Drosophila melanogaster: one gene and its partner. The protein of the gene in region 1 binds, or shares a complex with, the protein of each later gene. Each region holds a gene or a part of one and is shown on either strand. Other genes may lie near its edges.

What was found.
Region 2: Ltn1 (region 1) and Clbn share a complex: the UniProt entries of both Drosophila melanogaster proteins name them as parts of the ribosome quality control complex.

The regions. Positions count from the first base shown.
Region 1 is NT_037436.4:19,549,038-19,554,011, reverse strand, and holds the start of Ltn1 (listerin E3 ubiquitin protein ligase 1), read left to right. Parts: upstream 1-1,721; 5' UTR 1,722-1,744; coding exon 1,745-1,792; intron 1,793-1,853; coding exon 1,854-2,647; intron 2,648-2,704; coding exon 2,705-2,884; intron 2,885-2,940; coding exon 2,941-3,982; intron 3,983-4,040; coding exon 4,041-4,974. Other genes in the region: CG9300 (uncharacterized protein), read right to left, coding at 1-683, 764-1,127, 1,182-1,346, 1,405-1,536. UniProt on the Drosophila melanogaster protein: E3 ubiquitin-protein ligase component of the ribosome quality control complex (RQC), a ribosome-associated complex that mediates ubiquitination and extraction of incompletely synthesized nascent chains for proteasomal degradation.
Region 2 is NT_033777.3:25,125,615-25,131,912, forward strand, and holds Clbn (caliban), read left to right. Parts: upstream 1-1,887; 5' UTR 1,888-2,003; intron 2,004-2,015; exon of another isoform or gene 2,016-2,143; 5' UTR 2,144-2,196; coding exon 2,197-2,252; intron 2,253-2,317; coding exon 2,318-3,047; intron 3,048-3,118; coding exon 3,119-3,996; intron 3,997-4,058; coding exon 4,059-5,174; intron 5,175-5,232; coding exon 5,233-5,431; 3' UTR 5,432-5,541; downstream 5,542-6,298. Other genes in the region: Mocs2B (molybdenum cofactor synthesis 2B), read right to left, coding at 38-160, 220-488, 553-828, 953-1,259, 1,321-1,449; Mocs2A (molybdenum cofactor synthesis 2A), read right to left, coding at 1,460-1,732. UniProt on the Drosophila melanogaster protein: Key component of the ribosome quality control complex (RQC), a ribosome-associated complex that mediates the extraction of incompletely synthesized nascent chains from stalled ribosomes as well as their ubiquitin-mediated proteasomal degradation.

The DNA of each region.
Region 1 (4,974 bases):
TGTATTATTCGGCCCCTTGTCAAAGAAGTTCGTCATTAGAGTGACACTCACGTCCTCCAGCCCATTCTCGCAAATGGTCGCCTCTCCATGAACATGCTGTTTGATAATTTCGTCGATCTCTTGATCCACTACCTCGGGAGGATCGTAAGCCAACTCCCGGCCATCAGCTTTTTGGTAGTCCAAGTTGGGCATCTGCTTATTTAACTGGGATTTCACAGCTCTATAATTTAAGGGTTTCGTACTACCATCAAACTTAATAAGCGACTCCAGATACTCCTCCTCGTTTATGTGATCCAATTCAATAGGCGAGAGGTGAGTATCACTAAACTGAGAGCCCAACATGTCCACCAGCACCTCCCGGTTCATTCGGTAACGGACCGCCGCTATATTATGCCCCATGGCCAAAAGGATGTGCTCATTCCCGGCCCAAAGGCGAGAGAAGTCCAGGTACACTTTAAAGTACTGCTTCGCGTTCACCACCTTAAACTGAGTGTTATAAACCAACAGAGAGGCGCCTTCCTGCCCATAGTTGGCGCCGTAGATGGCAGCAAAGTTTCGTGAGACTCCGTGCACGGATAGCTTGCTCTCCACATTCAGCTCGGCCAGCATAGATACGAATTGTCCAGGGGATCGCTCTGATGTGGCCTCCGCCAGGTTAAGCATGAAGATGCGTTTATCAGACCCTGTAAAATTAAATAAATTTATAGTTTTCGTTCTTACATCAAAACTCATTCCTCACACTGATATAACTAAAGTTACTTACAAATGGTCAGCAACTGAGGATCTGCATCGCCCTCGACGACAGCATATCCCGTGAGGCGAACCTCTTCCCGCTTAATGAGGTACTTCCGCCGGTCAGCCGTGTCCAGGGAGAGGCGGATAAGCTGCATTTCGCCGGTGGCCTTTGTTTCCTCGAAATATGTGAGCACCTGCTGGCCCTGGGCCAATGCGTGGACTGTGGGCTTGCTGATGACCTTGCTGGCGGCTAGGGCCAGTTGCTCAGCCGTATCCTCCTTCTGGTCCTTTCTCGAAGCCAATGCCTGGGAAAGGGTTTGGCACTCGCCATCGCTGTAGAGGATTAATGCCTCCTGTTCGGTTGCCACCACGTGAGCGATGCTTTTCTGAAACTGTAAGGAAAGCGTATTATCCACAATTATATGCTGAATTTTAGCTGCCCATACCTTCAGCTTCTTGCACTTGGACACATCACTGGTGTCCACATCCCAAAGACGCAGCGCGTGATTTCCAAAGACGCCCACATACTTCTGGCTGCTGGGATCGTATATAACCTTGGAGGAAAGCTTCTCCGGCAGGGACCAACTGAGCAACTGCTTTTGTGTGCTGATCTATAAGGAAATCGCGTTTGTTACATGGGCATTTTGATATTTTGGTGTCCAAACGCACGTTCAAAACAACCACCACGTTGCGCGCCAACGTAGTCACCACATTGCCATTTTCCCTGTCTGCAGCTAGGCCCAGAAACTCCTTGGGGTCGGGGATGGGAAACAGGTTGTAGTAGGACAGGAATTTGGACATTATTTAATTGAATTGAAAACAATTGCAGCACGTGCAAAGCGGCATCCAAAACTAAACCACAGGGCGATTCGTGCCATTGAAATCAGTGTTTTGGTATTTAAAATACCGACAGTAAGGCTGCCAGACCTCTGCGAAATACGAACACAAATGGTTGCCGGACCTGCCACGTGCTATCGATAAGAGGAAGAGACAGAAGAAGAAGAGAGAAATGGGTGGAAAGACAAAACAAGCGCCGCGCACCAAAAATAATGCCAAGGTAAGGCGTAGTAAGGTATTAATATGTTATTTAACCGTGCCCTCGACCCCCCATCATCCAGCCCTCGAGCAGCAGCCGAACAGCCGAGCTGCTGGGCAGTTCCACGCCCATATTCGTGGGATTCTCGGCGCAGACGGACGGCGGTGGCCTGGTGCCATTTGCTCCGGGATTCGCCAGCGCCGAACAAATGCCGGACAGCTTTGATGCGGCCATCAGTCCGCAAACGCAGATCATCCTTCGAAAGCTGTCCAAAAAGGATCCAATGACGAAGAAGAAGGCGCTGCAGGAGCTACACGAACTGATCGAGCAGTCTGACGTGGAGGTCCTCAAGAACATTCTGCCTCTGTGGCCCAAGTACTACCTCAATCTGGCTAGCGATCCGGAGCACACTGTTCGCGAACAGACACAGACTGTGCTGCAGTTGCTCATGGCCAAGTGTAAAAAGGCGATGGCTCCATATCTAAAGTTACTTGTGCCCGTTTGGCTGGGCAGCCGATTTGATACCTACGCTCCGGCGGCCAGTATTGCGAGCCAATCCTTTCGAGACACCTTTGCTGGCAACGCCAACCGATCTCGGGAAGTCTGCATGCACTGTCAGGTGGAGATTCTCGAGTACGCCACACGTAACCTGACCTTCCACACAGCCGCTACTCTGTCGATTGGGAAAAGTCTCACTCCGGAGGATGCGGAACAGAAGTACCAGCGCGTTATCATCAGTAGTCTCAAGCTGTTGTCCTTTTTCATGGGGCAAACTGCGCAGACGGAGGAGCTCAGCCAGGTCAAGGAGGGCTTCGGCACCCTGGTGGCACACCAGAAGTTCTGGAGCTTCGCCAAGCATAAAGTGCCTGCCATTAAGTAAGTAAACAGACAAGTCATTTACCATGTATTTAATTTCTGTTTCACATTTTATAGAGCCGCCTGGTTCGAGTGCATATATCACATCCTGCAATCGGTTGCACTTTTGGATGTGATCACGCCTCAGAAGACGCAGCTGACTAACCTCTGCTTTCAGTTTATTGACGATGCAGATCCCGTGGTGGCTCCCCACATTTGGGGGTGCGTTCTGCTCCTACAAAGTAACTACGTAGATTGGTAAGACCTAGGATCTACTATAAGTGAATTCCAATAATAAAGTTTAATATTTGTAGGTTCGTTCCACTGAACATTCGCAAGACACTTCTCCCCAAACTTTCGTCTTTGCTCCAAAATGGTTTCAATCGCAACGCCCAGGCCATCTGTCCCAATCTGCTGCCATTTTTGTCGAAAGTTACACAAGCATCCCTTCAAGACCTGGATATCTACGATTTCTATCAGCGCTTCTTTGACGACATGAAGCTGGCAGTCACTAAGAAATTCGATCCTCCGCTTTCCAAATCCGATTGTATTGTGATACATAATGCATATTTTGAGTGCCTACGCTTCTTGATGCAGCAGATTAACAACAACAAACAGCGAGAGCAGAAGGAGGAGGAATTTTCCTTTAGCCTACTCGATAACAACGTACTTGAACCCATTGCCTGGCTGCTCAAAAGCGATAGCACGCATGTAAAAATTTTCTTCCAGCACAGTTCAGCCCTGGTGGCCTTCTGGGATCGTCAGATTAATAATAGATTGGATAATGGTGACCTTTATGCCAAATTGCTGAACAAGTTCTGGATACGCATCTTTGAGCTGGTCACACAAGACCTATCGGCCGAGGAGGTGAATGAGCAACTGCTCGGACATGTCTTGCTTTTAGTGCAGGATCTGCATATGGCTAATCCTAGCCTGGAGTCGCCGAGTGTGAAGTTTGTCGAGGGGCCAAACGAAAAGATCGAGAAGAGCGAACCCACAACACCAGTTAAAAAGGCTCAAGAAGCTGCTGCTTTTATACAAAAGGAATTGAAGCAGTTGGTTATAAAGTTAGTGCGCATATGCCTGGATAAGGCCAACAAAGGCAGTGGGAGTGGTACTTCGAGCTCGCGTTACATCGAACAAATTCGAACGCTTACAAAAATGTTTAACGATGCCGCGTTCTACAAAAGTTTAACTGATGATGGAGACCTTGCGTCGGCGTTAAATAAATTTGTGTCACTGCTAGGTCAACTAAGTTGTCAGGCCTGTGAATCTGTGGTGGAGATCGTGTTTGAAATCCTGCCGCTGCTAGAGACTGGAAAACGCTTTGAATATATTGAAAACACTCTCATGAAGGTAGTTACCAATTTTAAAGTGTATAAAAAAAATATTAAATTATTATTATTCTTTACAGCTTCCACAACATGGCGTGCAAAATCTTTTGCTGCATCGTCTACTATCATATCCCCTATGCGCCGAGGCCGCCGTGAGGCAAATGCTAAGTGGTCCGGAAACTTGTGAAATGATTGCGCGGATAGCTGAGGAGGTTGTTGTAGACAATGATCGGGAGAAGCTGAACTTGCTTCACAAGTGTTTTTTCCAAACTGACACGGGAGACATACTCATTAATGCTAAAACTGTGGATAAAATACTGCTGTCCATGTGCGGACCCTTGGAGCAACCGGTTGTCGATGACGCGGTGGAAGTGTGTGGCAGTTTTATTGCCCAGATAATGCCTGTGATTTGCAGCAACAATAACTCTTCGCTGCACGTGCGCCAACACATCTTCCTCAAACTGTTCAAATTTAGTTTGGAGCACCGACCAGAGGATTATCTGTCGGAGGATACTCTGTGGGAAATTACCACTTGCTGGCAGGATGGACTTTCTAGCAAAGATATCGAAATCGATGATGACATGCTAAAGTGTTGCGCAGGGATTGTTGAGGAATTGGCAAATTCAGCAGAACTTAAAGCGGATACTTTGGATGGAATGGCAGAGGCGATGGCCAAGTTTGTTATTTGCTCAACGGAAAATATTGAAGATGAGTATAAGCGCTTGGAGCGAATCGATGAAACATTAACTGCTCTTCTGGAAACGCCCCTAAAAACGACTGACAAGGTTCAACAGTTTGAGAACCATTGTGTACTCCTAGAAGCCTTGCACGGATCTGTGACTGCGGGAGTTCCGTTCGAAAATGCTTGCCTCTCAAGAAATGAAATACTACCATTGCTTCAACGTTCCACACTCAACTTTTCTACAATCTACAAGCTCGTCTATCAATTCCCACCACCTCAAGACACCAACGACCCAGAGGATGAGTTGACCGAGGACTATTGTGATCCAAATG
Region 2 (6,298 bases), on another chromosome or scaffold:
ATTACAAACCAAGGAATAATAATTAATTAGGTTTTTATTAGCTTAATTCGCTGCCATCCTTAATCTTTTGAATGAATGCACTTAATTCTTGCGCCGAATACGATTTCTTTCGGCTCTTCTTCGGCGGCGCGGCTTCCATAGATGACGGTTCACGTTTGGTCTGAGAATAGATTGAATTTTTTTAGAACTGCAATTACAGGAAATGTTTTAAGAACCTACGAAGTGTCTGTACTCGGGCGAAATGGACTCCAGTTGCAGCAGTCTATTTTCCACTCGTTTGATTCTACTGAAAATGTTTTCCTCGTTGTCGGTGGTTAGACCCATGTACGATTCAATTGCCTGTAGTCGTGAATTGGGTAGCGATTTCCTCATTTCTTTGGTTGGATCCGTTTGACCGTCACGCGATCCCATTAGTTTATTCAGTTCGAGTTCGTAGTTGGGTCGCATTTCCATTTGCTGAGGTCCGCATCGGTTGTTTACTCGTCGGACTGTGATAGGTTGTTTGTAGACCAAAGTGGCTATAGTTATGAAAATAGAGCATCGTTTACCCACCTTTTAAATGGCAATTTGACTGCTCCTGCTTAATAATTGTGCTCTGCGTTCGAGCGCAGGAATCGCTCAAGTTTTGGTCTGAGCTGACAAAAGACGATTTGAAGTCAATTACATTTTGTGAGTTTATTTCGTCTCGTTTTCTGTTGACAAAACATTCTAAACGCTTGGTTAACTCAGCGTCATTAACTCTAATTTGCACCAGAGTTCGCGGGACGTCATGTGACTCCTCAACTTTGCAGGGACAAGCGGCGTAGTTGAAGCCACTTTTCGATTTCTCTACAATGTACATGCACAGATGAGAGAGAAGCCAATAAAATCGTAAACGCTCGATTGTTAATTATATTTACAAGTGTACAAATAATAAGAATACATGTCATGCTGGCTACTCATAAGATCTTACTAGGCCTGATGGACTCCTTGTTCTCCTTCCATTCGCTGTCGTTATCGCCGTCGTAGATTTCCTTTTTCCAGATGGGAACCCGAGTTTTTAGCTGGTCTATTGCAAAAGATACTGATTCTAAGGCCTCAGAACGATGTGGTGACGAGGCGGCTATAACTACACTGGCTTCGCATACGGGCACTGTTCCCAATCGATGATATATGACTATGTGCTTCAGATCGAGCCACTTAGATCGGAGATCTGAGCATATTTTATTCATTTCCTTGAGTGCCATGCTATCGTAGGCCTCGTACGCCAATGACAGCACCTGAAAGGTCGAAAAGTACAAATGAATCAATGAAATCAATTGATTGAGATAATGAAGCCACCTTTTTCCCTTGAAAATTATCGCGCGTAGTGCCCACGAAAACGGATGAGGCTCCACAGCCTTCATCGGCCAGCAACTGATGGATATGAGCGATATCTATGGGGTCGTTTACCAATTTCACGTGATCCATGGCGGAAAGGTTAGCCTCCACTCAGTGGCGGTATGATGGCGAGTTCGTCTCCTTCCTTAAACAGAATTCTATCACTCAGGTTGTCAATGTACGACTCGTTGTGGGCCAAAATCAAGTTATCCCGGATGGAGGTCAGGCCAAATTTGGACACCAGGTGGTCCAGCAGTTCGGTGGCAGTAATTTCAGTAGGAACTTCCACTGTCGACCGGGGAGTGTTTGCTAATTCACGGGATTTAGCAAAGAACAACACGTGCACGTTGACAACAGGTCCATCCGCATTCATATTTACAAATGAAGATTGGCGATGACACAGCAGTTCCATTTTCCGACTACCTATGTATCGATTTCTTATCGGAACGAAGTGGAATAGTCCACGGAAAGGGAAACAGCTGACTGAAACTTTATTAAATGCTTAATAACTTTTTAGATAAATCAAAGAAGCTTCTTACTCATTGCATAAACAATACAAATATTTAATACATAGTAATTATACAGCGAATTCATTCTGACAATCCGAATCATCAACAGCATACAATCGATATATTTTGTTTAAAGTTCGTCCATCGCAATTTACACCGATACTTAATTTCGCAAGTGAATAAAATTGTTATTATTCCCTATTAAACTAATTTAACTTATCTAACGTAGATAGCGAACTTGTGAATATTTAATGATAAGTTAAGTTGCCAGATAGATTCTTTTTTCTTCACTTTCCGTGTTGACATCGTCAACTTTCCATAAAGAACCATGAAGACACGTTTCAATACCTTCGATATAATCTGCGGAGTGGCGGAACTGCAAAAGTATGTAAAAAATCCGGATAATTCCGATGCCCAGGAATAATGGTACATCTACATTTATATTCCAGGCTGGTCGGCTGGCGAGTGAATCAGATCTATGACGTGGATAACAAGACCTACCTCTTCCGGATGCAAGGGACCGGTGCAGTGGAGAAGGTCACTCTGCTAATAGAATCTGGTACAAGATTCCATACCACTAGGTTCGAATGGCCCAAGAACATGGCTCCGTCCGGTTTCAGCATGAAGTTGAGGAAGCACTTGAAGAACAAGCGCCTGGAAAAGGTTCAACAGATGGGTAGCGATCGTATTGTTGACTTTCAGTTCGGTACCGGTGATGCCGCCTACCATGTTATTTTGGAGCTCTACGATCGTGGTAATGTGATCCTCACCGACTACGAGCTGACCACGTTATATATTTTGCGTCCGCATACGGAGGGCGAGAACCTGCGCTTCGCCATGCGCGAGAAATATCCCGTGGAACGGGCCAAACAGCCCACGAAGGAACTGGAACTGGAAGCTTTGGTTAAGCTGTTGGAAAATGCCAGGAACGGCGACTATTTGCGACAGATTCTAACACCCAACTTGGACTGTGGTCCGGCAGTTATAGAGCATGTTCTCCTCTCACACGGCTTGGACAATCACGTTATCAAAAAGGAAACAACGGAAGAAACGCCGGAGGCGGAGGACAAGCCGGAGAAGGGCGGTAAAAAGCAACGTAAGAAGCAACAGAATACGAAACTGGAACAGAAACCATTTGACATGGTTAATGACTTGCCAATTCTTCAGCAAGCAGTAAAGGTAAGAACAATATCGTGGAAATATTTATTATTGCTGTTAAAGTAAATAAAACGTTCTGTGCAATCTTTTAGGATGCTCAAGAGCTTATAGCTGAGGGAAATAGTGGAAAAAGTAAAGGCTACATTATTCAAGTTAAAGAGGAAAAGCCTACAGAGAATGGAACGGTGGAGTTTTTCTTTAGAAACATCGAATTTCATCCCTACCTCTTTATTCAATTCAAAAACTTTGAAAAGGCCACATTTGAGTCCTTTATGGAAGCCGTTGATGAATTTTACTCTACGCAAGAGTCGCAAAAGATTGACATGAAAACGCTACAGCAAGAGCGTGAGGCACTAAAAAAGCTGTCTAATGTCAAGAATGACCACGCAAAGCGTCTAGAGGAATTGACAAAAGTCCAAGATGTGGACAGAAAGAAAGCAGAGCTAATAACGTCCAATCAAAGTCTGGTGGATAATGCAATTCGGGCTGTTCAGTCAGCTATTGCCAGTCAATTATCCTGGCCGGATATTCACGAGCTTGTAAAGGAGGCACAGGCAAATGGCGATGCTGTAGCTAGTTCCATAAAGCAGCTTAAACTGGAGACTAATCATATATCCCTTATGCTCAGCGATCCATATGACAACGATGAAGACGACGATCTTAAGGATCCAGAGGTTACTGTTGTGGATGTCGACTTGGCTCTGTCTGCTTGGGCCAATGCCCGTCGATACTACGATATGAAACGTTCGGCTGCTCAAAAAGAAAAGAAAACTGTAGATGCTTCCCAAAAAGCTCTTAAGTCTGCGGAGCGCAAGACGCAGCAGACGCTCAAGGAAGTGAGGACTATATCGAACATAGTAAAGGCACGGAAAGTTTTCTGGTTTGAAAAGTTTTACTGGTTTATCAGCTCTGAAAATTATTTGGTTATTGGAGGAAGAGATGCCCAGCAGAACGAGCTTATTGTTAAAAGGTTTGCTTTCAATTACTTAAATAGATCGAAGTATTTATAATTATGACATGTTGTTATTCCAGATATATGCGTCCGAAAGACATTTATGTGCACGCTGAGATTCAAGGCGCCTCGAGTGTTATTATTCAAAATCCCACAGGAGAAGAAATACCTCCCAAAACGTTGCTAGAGGCAGGATCCATGGCTATTTCGTACAGTGTTGCTTGGGATGCCAAAGTGGTTACCAACTCGTACTGGGTAACAAGCGATCAGGTCAGCAAAACTGCACCGACTGGAGAGTACTTGGCAACGGGAAGCTTTATGATCAGAGGAAAGAAGAACTTCCTTCCCTCCTGCCACCTGACCATGGGTCTAAGTTTACTTTTCAAGTTGGAGGATAGCTTCATTGAGCGCCATTTGGGAGAGCGTAAAGTTAGAAGCCTGGAGGATGATCAAATAGATCCAAATGTTAAAGAAAACGAAGTTGAACATGATCTTTTGTCGGATAATGAAGACGCTGATTCAAATATAAATCTATCGGAACCAAGCTCCAATACCGAAATTACAGCTTTTCCCAATACAGAAGTTAAGATTGAGCACGATACTGGTCGCATTATAGTCAGATCCGACTCCGTAAATCCAGAGATTGAAGAGACTAAAGAGAGTGAAGTTGTCCTAGACAAAATTTTGAAAAAGACGGACGATGAAGAAACGACCATTATTTTGGCTGGTCCAAGTCGTAAAAAGCAAGTAAGTGCCAAAAAGACCAAGGAAGACAAGGCACGGGCGAAACAAGAAGCTGCCAAGCAGGAAGTCCCTCCTGTGAGTAGTGAACCAAAAAATCCATCTCAAGTTAAGAGAGGTCAGAAGGGAAAGCTCAAGAAAATGAAGCAAAAATACAAGGATCAAGATGATGAAGAGCGGGAAATTCGCATGATGATTCTCAAGTCATCGGGTAAGGAAAAGCCACAGGCCAGTGCCGATAAAGTGGTGGAGAAAAGTGAGTCAACCAAGGAGTACGTGAAGCCAGAAAAAAGTGCAGCTCCCAAAAACCCAGTGGAACTGGACGATGCTGATGAAGTGCCCGTCGGTGGGGATGTGGATGTACTCAACAGTCTGACTGGACAGCCGCACGAAGGAGATGAGCTGCTGTTCGCGATTCCAGTCGTTGCTCCCTATCAGGCTTTGCAAAACTACAAGTAGGCTATACTGAAAGTTCGCATAAAATGTTTATTGTAAATGTGATATCCTTTTTAGGTTTAAAGTAAAGCTCACCCCAGGTACGGGAAAAAGAGGAAAGGCGGCGAAACTAGCACTTAATATCTTCGCAAAGGAGAAGAGCTGCAGTGCTCGTGAGAAGGACTTACTGAAAAGTATAAAGGAAGAGTCGTTGGCCAGGAATATACCAGGAAAGGTCAAGCTATCGGCCCCGCAACTTCAGAAGTATCACAAATAACTAAATCAAATGTATGCAAAATGTGTTGAGCCATAACTTAAGGAAGTGTTAAAAATGCTTTAAAAAAGTAATGCCAGTTGATACAATAAAAGAGAATGTTTACGGAACTGAATATATATGTTGATTCCTTATCAAAGAGATATATATATATATGTATATATTGATTTTGTTAACGGTTGAAACTGGCTCTTATCGATAGTCTTGTTGCTGGGCGAACTTTAAGCTGGGATTTTGGGGCGCATGCGCCTCATATGGGGCCCGAGTTTGCATGTGTTTGTTTACTTCGGTTGGCTGTGTTCGAAAGTGGTGTTGTATAAGTAGATATTTTGGTGCTAAGTCGCCTGTTTTGGCATTTTGTGTACTAAAAAGTTCGGGAACTTCTCGTCATCATTCGATTCGTCGTGAATTGCCACAGTAAAAATCTACACTAGCCTGTTTAAAACAATGAATTCCTCCGGAGCCCGATGAAAAAGCAAACAAGCCCGAAGGCAGCAAATCACATAGCTTCTCGCAACCAAAGACAATACAGCGGAAAATGTATCTTTCGTGCGAAATCCGTGTAAAACATTTTTTCCAACCCAACCGTTTGCGTGCCGTGGAGGATTTCACCGATATGTAGATACATTTAGGCAAAGACGGAGTGCTTCCCAACGAAAGGAAACCATTGCAAAAGGAATAAAATTAAAGTGCTGAGGCTATGGTTCGGTGAAAAACTATGGCCTTCAAAGTCCCACCCAGTTAGAAGGATATGTGCGTGTGTGTCTGTAAGTGTGTGTTAGTGTATGTGAGTGTGTGTGTGTATGCATACATATGAAGGCATGTATTGATTAAGGACACAGCACTTTTTTCTCAGCCGTGTGAGCTGAA